Drosophila melanogaster: one gene and its partners. The protein of the gene in region 1 interacts with the protein of each later gene in a pairwise test. Each region holds a gene or a part of one and is shown in the gene's direction. Other genes may lie near its edges. The genes, in order: Hn, B9d1 and Fer1HCH.

Region 1 (3,754 bases):
TACCGCCATCGAAAGACGCGCCTGTCAGTCAGGAAGCACCAAGAAAGGATATATGCCCTTTGTTTAAGGGACCAGCCAACGGAAAGGCTTCTTGCGATAAGTATCTCCAAAATGGCTTCAACTACACTCGTTGCAATATTACCTGCAACGCGGGTTATATCATGCAGGGCTCACAATTTGCGGTTTGTGGACACACCGGACTTTGGTCTAGTCCAGAAGCCAAGTGCGTGGGTAAGTACACATCAATGTACAATGTACAAACAATTTAAGTTAGTGCTATAGGATTTTATAAGACACATTATGTATTTGCTATTGCATCCTATTTCTAGAATCCCTCGCATTGAGTTGTCCAGTTTTGACACCCCCTCGCAATGGACGTTTCTATCCTGCAAGCTGCAATAATGAACCATCCAAATCACTCGCGATTTGTGAACTGTTATGTGATCGAGGCTATTTGCCCAGAATGGACACACAGCTCATTTGTGCGGCACCATGGGGCTGGATCCAAAGAAGATGGCAGGACAATGTGCCACAATATGTGTTTCAGCAATCAGTAAGACTGAGTAACCTAACTATAACACATATTTACATTTTACCTTTACGCATTTAATTTTTTAGGTGAAACAGGACGAGGGCTGCGTGAAGATCGCTCCGCCTTAACCGGATTCCACAAAGCCGTTAATTTATTTTAACATATAAAACGACAAAAAAAATAAAAATAAATTTAACCTACACTCCTGCACTGAAGCGTGCATTGATTTTGTATTGACTATCAGTCTTGGTGTGTAAAAATCAATGAAGATGTAAAACTTTTGACATGTAGAACAGATGTTTAATATTCTCCGCTGAAGACAAATCTTGTAAGCAAACGGTACAGATAGGGCTTGCTTGTTTTTCGGATGTTTAAGCATCGTCATCATAGATCACTCCCATTTCGTCTTGATTTTGGAGTGTATTGAAAGTGGATTATCAATTCGGTCTACATAAAATATTAGCCTTAATACCCTCATTGTCTTCAAAAATGACCTGATTTCTTTGCCTACTTTTGGGCCTAAATCAATGCTTTTTAGGATTGACAAAAAACATATCTAAAAATAGAAATAAGAATATTGAAACATTTTATGTCGGAAGTAAAGACATGGTATAGATATGGTTTATTGCTTTAGCTTTTGTAAGCTCTTGTAATATTACATCAGCTTAAATTTCGGGGTTATCTGTTGACGTGCTTATACCGAGTGAACTCTGAACTTGAAACAATAATAAACCTACTCATAGATTAACAATTACAAGTGGGTACCACAATGTAAGTCACCTAGACTTAAGGAAAGCGTATTACCATTTAAAAGACAAAATCCGACAAAAAGTTCGGGTGAGTGTAACGATTGGACTAATTGATTCCAGTCAATCTGATGTGGACCGCAAGTATAAAAAAAAAACCAAGAGTAGCGCGTGCCAGGCCCACTTGGAGCTATTCACTACTGAAATAATTGCCCTGAAATGCCGTTGAACTCGTTTGGTTAGAACCTGTCATTAGAAAAACACAGCCCAGATTATTCAGTATGATTTTTTGCAAAACAAAGCAAATCTAAAACTAGCTGAAATAATGTTTTGTTAATTTGGACCCCAGCAGAGGGGCGAGTCTTAGCTGATAATATTTCCAAAATACAGTGGAACATGCGAAAAGGAAGTGCTTTGGGTTCTTCAAAAGTAAGAAAACATTGTTTACGATATTATATTTTATCTATAGAAAACTGTGCCTAAGTTCCAGGAACACAGATCTATAACATTCAAAACTGGTTTTTCGAATCAGGCGTTCCTTTTTTTCGTATTTTGAATTATGGATGCTAGACTGTATTTAAGCCTCAACATTTAGATTTGATCGGCTAGACGACGGCTTCTGTAATGAAGCTGAATACTGAAATGGGATTTTAGGCCCATCGAGACACTGGGCACTGATAACCCCGCAGCCGCAGAGCCATAGCCGCGATTGGATCGCATGTGGATGCCGTTCCAAGATCATTTACTCGCCCGATTGCCCGCGATATTATTTGTATTTTTTACTGGTTTCAGTTCGGATTGATTTTCGTTTGGGCTCAGCTATGGGGCCTATCGAAAAGTCTATTTAAGCGCGCGATTCATAGAGAAATTAAATCAGTTTTAATTCGTTTGCTGAACGGATCGTTCGCCATCGGTTTTATTGTACTTATCAGTGGAGAAACCCGAGAATCTTGTGAAAATGTACCAGCGGCAGGTCTCCTTTGATAAGGTTTGTTGCTTCGGCGAGAGTCCTCTGTGCACCCGGTATAGAAAGTGATCCGTAAAATAGCTAATAAATTAAAAACAATAACAAGTTTATTATTCTGCGTTCTCAGCATGAACTTGTCCAACCTTTGAGGAAAAAAAATTCAAATAAAATATAATTTTATTATTTTGATTGAAATGAGAATGCGGATCTATAATGTATAAAACCTGTCATGGAATTGGGTTAGTTCGCAATAGTTCTAGACAAAGGAAAACAGAGTGGTGTCTGGGACTCCTAGTGGTTTATTTTATTTTCGCTCCTAAACAAGTAGTTTATTAATGTGTTTTGTAGAGTAAAACCTGAATTAAGACGTCAGGCGCATATATTGGAAGTAGAAACAGTACAGCTTAATAAGATGTCATATAAATACATTAAGAACAAATAATTCAGCCCTGTTAGAGGACCTTGTTATGGCTCAAGATCTTGCAAAGTATACTACTTGGGAGACCTTCCCACAGATACAGCACACCAAGTTCTAGGCCGAGTCCTTGGCAATATGCGCTGATTGCCATTGCGGTCGGACCTAAACCTTCAATATGGGGGTTCAAGCCAAAACACAAACAATCTCAATGATGCAGATCTGAGGCAAGTACTACAATTACAGTTCGTTGGCTCATATAAGGCTTCGGTTAAATGATTATGCGATTTGGGCCCTGGTAGCCTCTGTAATAGGAGATTTGCTGATAGACATTGCATAGTCATAAGAGCAGAGAAATATTATCTATATTAAATAGTTTGGCTTGACTGCTCGTTTAGCCCAGGTCACTCGGAGTCAATCTGTCAAATTTCCAATGATGCAATGGCTGTTTTCCCAAACAGCAAAAATATAAACCGTAAATATTTTTTAAATTACCAATGAATTTATTACAGCCAACGCGCGTAGAGGATTCGGCTTACATAGTCGAGGGTGTAGATATTAAGGAGGCCAGGAACACCTGTCTTCTGTTTTCGCCCAAGGATTCGTCGTTGTCCAGCGGAGCTTTGGCCAACATTTTGGCCATCTTCAAGAAGCATGACATAAACCTGGTGCATATTGAGTCGCGTTCCTCGCTGCGTGTTCCCGGTTATGAGTTTTTCGTGGAGGCCGATGGAAAATCGGGAGCCTTGGGAAAAGCCATCGAGGATGTGAAGGAGCAGTGTAGCTACTTTAACATCATTTCGCGTGACTACAAGGATAATGCCACGGCTGTGCCCTGGTTCCCGCGGCGTATACGCGATCTGGATCGTTTCGCCAATCAGATTCTGAGCTACGGATCGGAGCTGGATGCCGATCATCCTGGTTTTACCGATCCGGAATACCGCAAGCGTCGCAAGTACTTCGCCGACATTGCCTACAACTACAAGCATGGCGAGCCCTTGCCCCATGTGGATTACACCAAGGAGGAGATCGAGACCTGGGGCATTATCTTCAGGAATCTTACGAAGCTGTATAAGACACATGCCTGTCGCGAG
Region 2 (3,653 bases), on another chromosome or scaffold:
GATATCCGCCATCTGTAGATGATTTCGACCCTAATCCGTCCCTGAACCGATCCAGAAATTCGCATTTCGCAAATCGGTTCAACACACGACGCTCGACTTTCAGTAATGCAACTCCTCGAGTGGCTAATGCACTTGCAAAAGACTTCAATTGAAAATTTTCATTTACACCAGGCTGGCCGGTCATTCAATGGATATGAATCGGTTTTATATAAGACTCCAAAATGAATATTTCTTCTGAATAATGCCTCCGTTCATTGATTCCAAAAACGTAATTGAATTCACAATGGCTGTGTGTCTGTGTGTGTCAGTTTGCCTGCAGGCGGCATATTCTTCAGTATTAGAAGTGGAAAAATTGTCGAAATCAAAATCGCACAGCATAATGCTACGAGTATAATGCCATATAGCTAAACTCGAGCCCAAATTATGTCGATTCTGCGCTGCATCAGCACTATCTCCGATTGCAGCAGCGAATTGAGCGGCTTTTAGCTTTGGATTTGGCATATGGCCTGATGTCCAATTTCTGATGGCTTTACTTTTGCTTTTGCCTTTGCTTTTGGGCTGACTGACTAAGCCTAAGCTTTTGTTTTGGCAATCAAAAGGAGCTTATTTCATGGAACTGCACATGCCACACACATTACACTGCTCGAAATGCCAGATTAAGCGGGAAAACTATATACATAGTTGGAATGTAATGAAACATCATCGCCAACTTTGGGTACACAGTGCTTATTAATGGGTAATTTCCGATAAGTAATGCATTTAATCTTAATTTATTTTTATAAACAATACTTGTTTTTTTTTTTTTTAACTACTGAAAATACTTTAATAATTTGTCAGTTAGTTTTTGAATAAAATACAGTTGCAAATAATATTTACCACAGCCATCGTTTTATTAATGAATAGGTAATGAACAGGTAAGTGGAATTTTCTTCCAGTGTAAGCACTTGATCCGACTCTGATTGCAACACCAATCGGCTGTCCCAGCTGTGCCACCACTCAGCTCCACAGCTGCACTGACGACGATCCAATCCGATGGGTGCGAAGATCATCTGCGTGGCTCGTGGAAGATGCCAGGTGAGCCGGGAGTTCGCCTTGAACCATTGACATTACTTGAGGCGCATTTTATTTACGCCCAGCATGATTAACTGATTAACTGACTGACTGACTAATTGACTAACTAACTGACTAACTGACTGACTGCCTGGCTGTTGGCCAGTTGGCTACTTGGCTACTTGTCCACTGGCCATTGCATAATGCATCATGCTAATAGGGAGCGGCACCGGGGGATCGAAGATCGAAGGCGCGACTTCCTGTAGACTTCGGTAGCGCCGGCAATTGTTACAATGATTTACGACCATGCCACGTTGGCAGCTATAAATTGCTAAATGGCCATTACAGCATTAATTACACGACCGACCAAGAGTTGTGAGTCGAATCGAAATTGAAATTGACCTTTTGCCCCGCCCAGACTGCCGGTCTGCAGAATGAGTTATTATCTTGTAATTGTCACTTACCAGCGGTGTGCAGATATGTTTCTTCGATCTCGATCTGGATCGGAGTATGCAAATTGGAAGCCAGAACCACTCGATGTCCATGTAACCAGCGATGTCGGTTGGAATTAAATTACATTGCTGTCGACATGACAAAGTGTGCGAATACTTAACTAACGAAACAAAGGAAATCCACCAACTGGTTACAATACATAACGAAAGGAATCATTAATGTGATTTATGAACATGTTGCCTCATTGAATCAGAGAAAAATAGAAATTATCATCGCAGTTTTATCTAAACTATTATTAAATGCAGACAGGCCATAAACCATCCGTTTGTTGAGTGTCTCTGGGGAATTCCTATTACTCAACCTTAAGAATCATCAAAATATAGAGGAAATTGTTTACAATCATTTCGTTTCCGATCTTGCAAGTCATAAACATCAAATTAATACAATAATGCATTTAACAAAAATCGTATGAAATAAATCGAACAATTTTTGCTATATAATCCCAATATATCGATTGTTATAGAAAATATCCCTTTTTTTTCGGTCCAAGCTGTCATATTTTTTGACCACTTTCAACACTTAGTTTGTGGCCAAGTCAGTTTTGGCAGGTGGAAAATAGTTGGCACTCGACTTGGCTGGAAACACACCCCGTTGTGAGTCGGCAACCACCACCATGAGCGCCAGCGAAGGCATCAGTCTCCCGGGCAACGAGGAAACCACTCCGCCGCATGAAAAACATAAACAAAAGGCCAAGAAGGCCAAAAAGAAGTCCCGGAGTGCCAAAGAAAGTGTTCCCAATGCAATGGACGCGAAAGCCACTGCCAGCTACTTTAGTTTGAGCATCGTGGGCCAAATAGTCTCGGCCACCTTTCCCCTGGGTCCCGACAAGGAGTTCGTCTTCCTGCGCTACGAAATGGTCGCTGGTCCCGACTGGCAGCTGTCCTCCGGACCCCAGCACGGACTCACCCAGCTGGCCACCAATAGAAGGGGCCATTTCAACGAACCGATTGTCTTCAATATGCCCATCGAGGTGACCTACAAGAGCACCAGTCCATATGGCTGTGAGTAATAGTACAGAATCGATTAGTTTACTATATTCTTTCTCAGCTCAGCTATTAACAATTTTTCGAATCAGATTGAAGTTACACCAACAAGATCTCCAATTCTTTTGGTTTCCAGGGCCACAGATCCTGGTGACCGTGTTCGGACGCAGTGGCCTGGGCAGGGAGACACTACTCGGTTACGCTCACATCCACCTGCCCGTTTTCGGCAGTCGTCGTCCAGCGGATCAGACGGAGCAGCTGCAGGCGCCCATCCTGATGCCCAAGTGCCCCAACATGATGGCGGACATCACCAGTTGGCTGCTGCGCCGCGAGCCGGAGCTGAAGGACCCCAAAGTGCTGCTGGACAACCTGAAGTGCAAGGGACTCTCTATGGAGTCGTACGGCAGCCTACAGTTTCAGCTGTCCTCCGTGATGAGGGGCGCCCGCAAGCTGGGCTACCATTGGCACTCCTGAGAGAGAGAGTCGAGTCCAGAGTGTGTTAGTAAAACGTGAACTTGAGGAAGCAGGAAAGCGTTTGTCTTAATCTAATTGCCGGGTGGGTGGTACCTCAAACTTGACCTTGTCCGTTGTGGCGGCTAAGACGATTTCAAAATGACGCGACTGCTGCTAATCCAACGCAGCAAACGAGCGGCAATCGAAAGCCCAATTCGAACGGTTAGCTTTGGATTGGCCAAGTGCCGGCTAATTGGATTAGGGCAATTAGTCTAAGACGCGTTGTACACAAGTGGCCATATAAAGACCAGACGACCATGGTCCGCCCCAGGCATTGCCGCCGAGTTCGCGTCCCGAGAGTCAGCCGTCCTGCTATGGACAGCGAGTAGTCGCCGCAGCAGAGTAGCCAGCCATCCAAGTTTAGACGAAGCCACCACCGAAGCGCCACCAGTACCAGCCATTCGAAATGGCCAGCCTGCATCCCCCGAGCTTCGCCTATATGCGCGATGGGCGCAATCTCAGCCTGGCGGAGAGTGTGCCCGCCGAGATTATGCACATGGTGGATCCGTACTGGTACCAGTGGCCTCCATTGGAGCCCATGTGGTTCGGCATCATTGGCTTTGTGATTGCCATTCTGGGCACCATGTCGCTGGC
Region 3 (3,754 bases), on another chromosome or scaffold:
CCAGCAAAACGGGCATTACAAATGGAGTTGGCTACGGGGAAAAAGCAAATAATAAAGATCACACTCTTAGAATAGGAGAGCAGAAGCACATCCAATAGTAATGACATAGTCTTAATGGTTCCTAACTAGGTAGTGCCATACTAAACAAGGCAATAGAATTTTGAATTTGTATTTGTATCTTTAAAATAATAATGTAAGGGCCGTAATGCAGTAAGAATTGGAAAGTGTTCATTTTCACGAAATCTGAGATAGTGCAGAAATACATCCAATCTATATTTCACTTACTCTTGCCTGTGAAAAAGCCCGTGAGCGCTTGTTTTTATTATTATGTTTTACAAAGATACAAAAAGCAACAACACAGATTAGCCACTCTCTCTTAGAGGCGCTCTCTTTACTCACCCGAAAAGGCTGACGTAGAGCATGCGGTGATTACAGTGTTCTGGCAATATTCATCATCCTTGGCCAAGGCAAGAGAGCCGAGGCACGCAAAGAGAGCGAGTGCAACGAAAAATTTCATGTCGACGGTTTACTGTAAATTAAAATCAAATTCGAGAGGCGAAAACAAAGGAAATTAGTTTCACAACAATTGACAATTGGAAAACAGACACTTTTGTTTTCATTTTGGGCGAGTTTTTTCGTTTTGCGTCGTAGCGTTTTCTTGAATTTTCTGTGCTCTTTTTTAACAACAAAACCACCACCAATGGAATGTTTTGGTTTTTAAATTTATATGGTGGTCGGTTTAAAAACACAGTTTCCAGAATATTATTTTCTAGTTTTCGTAACTAAACACTCACAAAGTAGTTAGTTAGTAATATTAAAACTCACTTCCAGTGCCTGTGCTTTTATTAATAATTCAATCGCTTTATGTGCTTCTTGGTGAAACTCTGAAAATCAACTGCTGTTTATAGCGTCGCGTACGTCTCTTTCTATGCGATCGATATGGCTGTGTGTGTGTGGTTTTGGAGAGCGTGCATGGGCATGTGTTGTTTTGCGCTCAGTGCGGGATTTCGGTGTCATTCAAATATGGCCGCTGCCAGTGCTGTTGTTGCTGCGCCTGCTGGAAGGTGACTCACGACAGGGTTGTCAGCGTGTGCAAAATATGGACGCTGCACTTTGGATTTCAAGTGGTTTCCTGAGAGTTTTATCAGCTAACGATGAGAATTGAAAATAAACTGCAGATAAACCATCTACCTCCTAAGATAATGTTTTAAGTTTTGATATATTGGTAATTCACAGCAGCATCGAGCTTGAGACTGTTGCTATTTACAATACATATTATTGCTGGGTTCGGAGATAATGTAGGGTTTCCCCAATCAACAAACAAATTATGTAATTTGTAAGTTTTCCCACCATGTATCCTTCTTATCAAGTGTCATTCTTGGAGCTCTGCAAGCGACACGTAAAAAAGAGCCGTCGCCATATTAGCAGTTATCAAAGTGGGTGACTGATCCCCCCTTCGAACGTGCAAATCAACTTGACAAAATGTGAATTAAATTGTCAGCAATAATTAAACCGCCTGGCAACACATGACGTGGTGCTCTCCCACGGCCAAAACAAAAACAAAGAACAGCTGATGCGCATCTCAAAAGAGCGGCCATATTGCATTTGATAAATTTACTTCTTAGTAAGTGGGGATTATCTGACTAGGAAACCCGACTTTATACAAAGTATACCCATATTGAGGACGTGTGTATCACATTGAGTGCGGCAATTATCGGGAATATTCAATTATCAGCCATTTAAACGGTTAACAAAGAACGGGCGACATGTTGAAAAGATAACAGTGCACACTCTCCCATCACTCACACACACACGAAGAAAAACCGAGAGCGCGCGCGCTTAAAAGTGTTTTGTGCGCCGTTCGGAGCGACAGTTCGCTTTCGAGTTCGCTAAAACACAACGTAGAAAGGCCTTAGCTCCACTGAAAAATCAGATTAAAGCTGTCAGCAGAAGGTACTGGAAAGCATTCGAGAAGTCGAAAATAATCCCAATCAAGCCCATCAAATTGAAGCAGGCGACGCCTTCTGCGCCAGTGTGTGTAAAGGCAGCTAGATTTTCAATTTCAACGCCTATTTAACATTGTAGCTCAACTCGAGTCGCCTCATTCTCATTTGTGCATTTCAAGCAAATCAAACTAAAGTGAAAAACAAATTTTTGTTCTGTGATTTTGTGTAAAGACTACGTTCGACGATCAAAGATGGTGAAACTAATTGCTAGCCTGCTCCTGTTGGCCGTGGTGGCCCAGGCCTATGGAGATTTCAAGTGTAAGTACTAATGTTACGTTTTATTCATCAGAATTTCAAACAAAACAAAGGCAGGTCATCGGAAAAAAAACAATAAATTTCGACGCAATACGCAAAGAGAAGCAAAACATTTGTAATGCGTTGAAAAGAGCATGCGCCGTTTCTCTTTGACGCTCTTTCACTCTCTTTCGTCAATGAAGTGAAGTTACCAAACCAGTTGATTTAAAAGTTATTGATACTTCCGTTGCGCTTTGGGGAAATGATAACCAGTTTTTATACATAAATTTTCATAATTAAATAATGCGAATTTCGCTTTCATTTCCATGAATATTGCGGTATAAATAAGCTTGACTTTTTGTTGTTACATTTCAAGGCGCTCTTTGCACACGGCTTTTACGGGCCGAGTGAGCTAGCATGGTGAACCATGCTTTTTGCACACGGCACTACACGAAAACAAATGCCGTTACTATGGCGGCGAGAGCTGCGCACGTTACCAATGCAGTTACAAAAACAGAGAGAGAGAGTGGGAGAGTAGGCCATTACAGTTTTGCACACGGTTTTTGTGCCCTAGAATAGCGGCATTTCAAGCGCAATTTCAAAGGTTTATGCAATTACGCCCTCTTAAATGCAATAACCAACAACGCCCTACCCCTCAGCCAAGCAAGAAAGCAAGAGTTTCGTGAGAGAGCTTCAAAGGGAGCGAGAAGAGCATCAACTAAAAGAAAAACAAAACCTAAGCCATGAAGGTCAAGACCAAGAGTGCAAAGGTTTTTAAAATATTAAAATTTACCTAAGTTCTGATTACAAAAATAAATTTTTTAAAGCTGAATACTAGCCATATATTGTTATCGTGGTCCCCCGACTTAACCCAACCTTATCCCATTGCAGGCTCCCTGGCTGTTCCTGAGATTACCAAGGACTGGGTGGACATGAAGGATGCCTGCATAAAGGGCATGCGCAATCAGATCCAGGAGGAGATCAACGCCTCCTACCAGTACTTGGCCATGGGCGCCTACTTCTCCCGCGACACCGTCAACCGCCCTGGATTCGCCGAGCACTTCTTCAAGGCCGCCAAGGAGGAACGTGAGCACGGATCCAAGCTGGTGGAGTACCTGTCCATGCGCGGTCAACTGACCGAGGGAGTCAGCGATCTGATCAATGTGCCGGTAAGTCGACGACTCGCCTAGAAAACCCAAAAGCCCAGCTAATCCTGGCGAATCCCCCACAGACTGTGGCCAAGCAGGAGTGGACCGATGGTGCCGCCGCCCTGTCCGACGCCCTCGACCTGGAGATCAAGGTGACCAAGTCCATCCGCAAGCTGATCCAGACCTGCGAGAACAAGCCCTACAACCACTACCACCTGGTGGACTACCTGACCGGTGTCTATCTGGAGGAGCAGCTCCACGGACAGCGCGAGCTCGCCGGCAAGCTGACCACTCTCAAGAAGATGATGGACACCAACGGCGAACTGGGCGAGTTCCTGTTCGACAAGACCCTGTAAGGAGGTGGAG

What was found.
Region 2: the proteins of Hn (region 1) and B9d1 interact in a two-hybrid assay, tested with the Drosophila melanogaster proteins (one large-scale study listed by BioGRID).
Region 3: the proteins of Hn (region 1) and Fer1HCH interact in a two-hybrid assay, tested with the Drosophila melanogaster proteins (one large-scale study listed by BioGRID).

The regions. Positions count from the first base shown.
Region 1 is NT_037436.4:7,758,391-7,762,144, forward strand, and holds the start of Hn (henna), read left to right. Parts: upstream 1-2,062; 5' UTR 2,063-2,236; coding exon 2,237-2,266; intron 2,267-2,593; exon of another isoform or gene 2,594-2,887; intron 2,888-2,976; exon of another isoform or gene 2,977-3,157; coding exon of another isoform or gene 3,158-3,172; coding exon 3,173-3,754. Other genes in the region: CG32373 (uncharacterized protein), read left to right, coding at 1-231, 330-553, 619-660.
Region 2 is NT_033777.3:15,479,831-15,483,483, forward strand, and holds B9d1 (B9d1), read left to right. Parts: upstream 1-2,075; 5' UTR 2,076-2,176; coding exon 2,177-2,564; intron 2,565-2,682; coding exon 2,683-3,020; 3' UTR 3,021-3,074; downstream 3,075-3,653. UniProt on the Drosophila melanogaster protein: Probable component of the tectonic-like complex (also named MKS complex), a complex localized at the transition zone of primary cilia. Required for ciliary structure and function.
Region 3 is NT_033777.3:30,385,974-30,389,727, reverse strand, and holds the start of Fer1HCH (ferritin 1 heavy chain homologue), read left to right. Parts: upstream 1-2,108; 5' UTR 2,109-2,197; coding exon 2,198-2,264; intron 2,265-2,318; exon of another isoform or gene 2,319-2,616; coding exon 2,617-2,625; exon of another isoform or gene 2,626-2,844; intron 2,845-2,899; coding exon 2,900-3,010; intron 3,011-3,131; coding exon 3,132-3,409; coding exon of another isoform or gene 3,410-3,430; exon of another isoform or gene 3,431-3,471; coding exon 3,472-3,744; 3' UTR 3,745-3,754. Other genes in the region: Fer2LCH (ferritin 2 light chain homologue), read right to left, coding at 1-31, 286-312, 400-517. UniProt on the Drosophila melanogaster protein: Stores iron in a soluble, non-toxic, readily available form. Important for iron homeostasis. Iron is taken up in the ferrous form and deposited as ferric hydroxides after oxidation.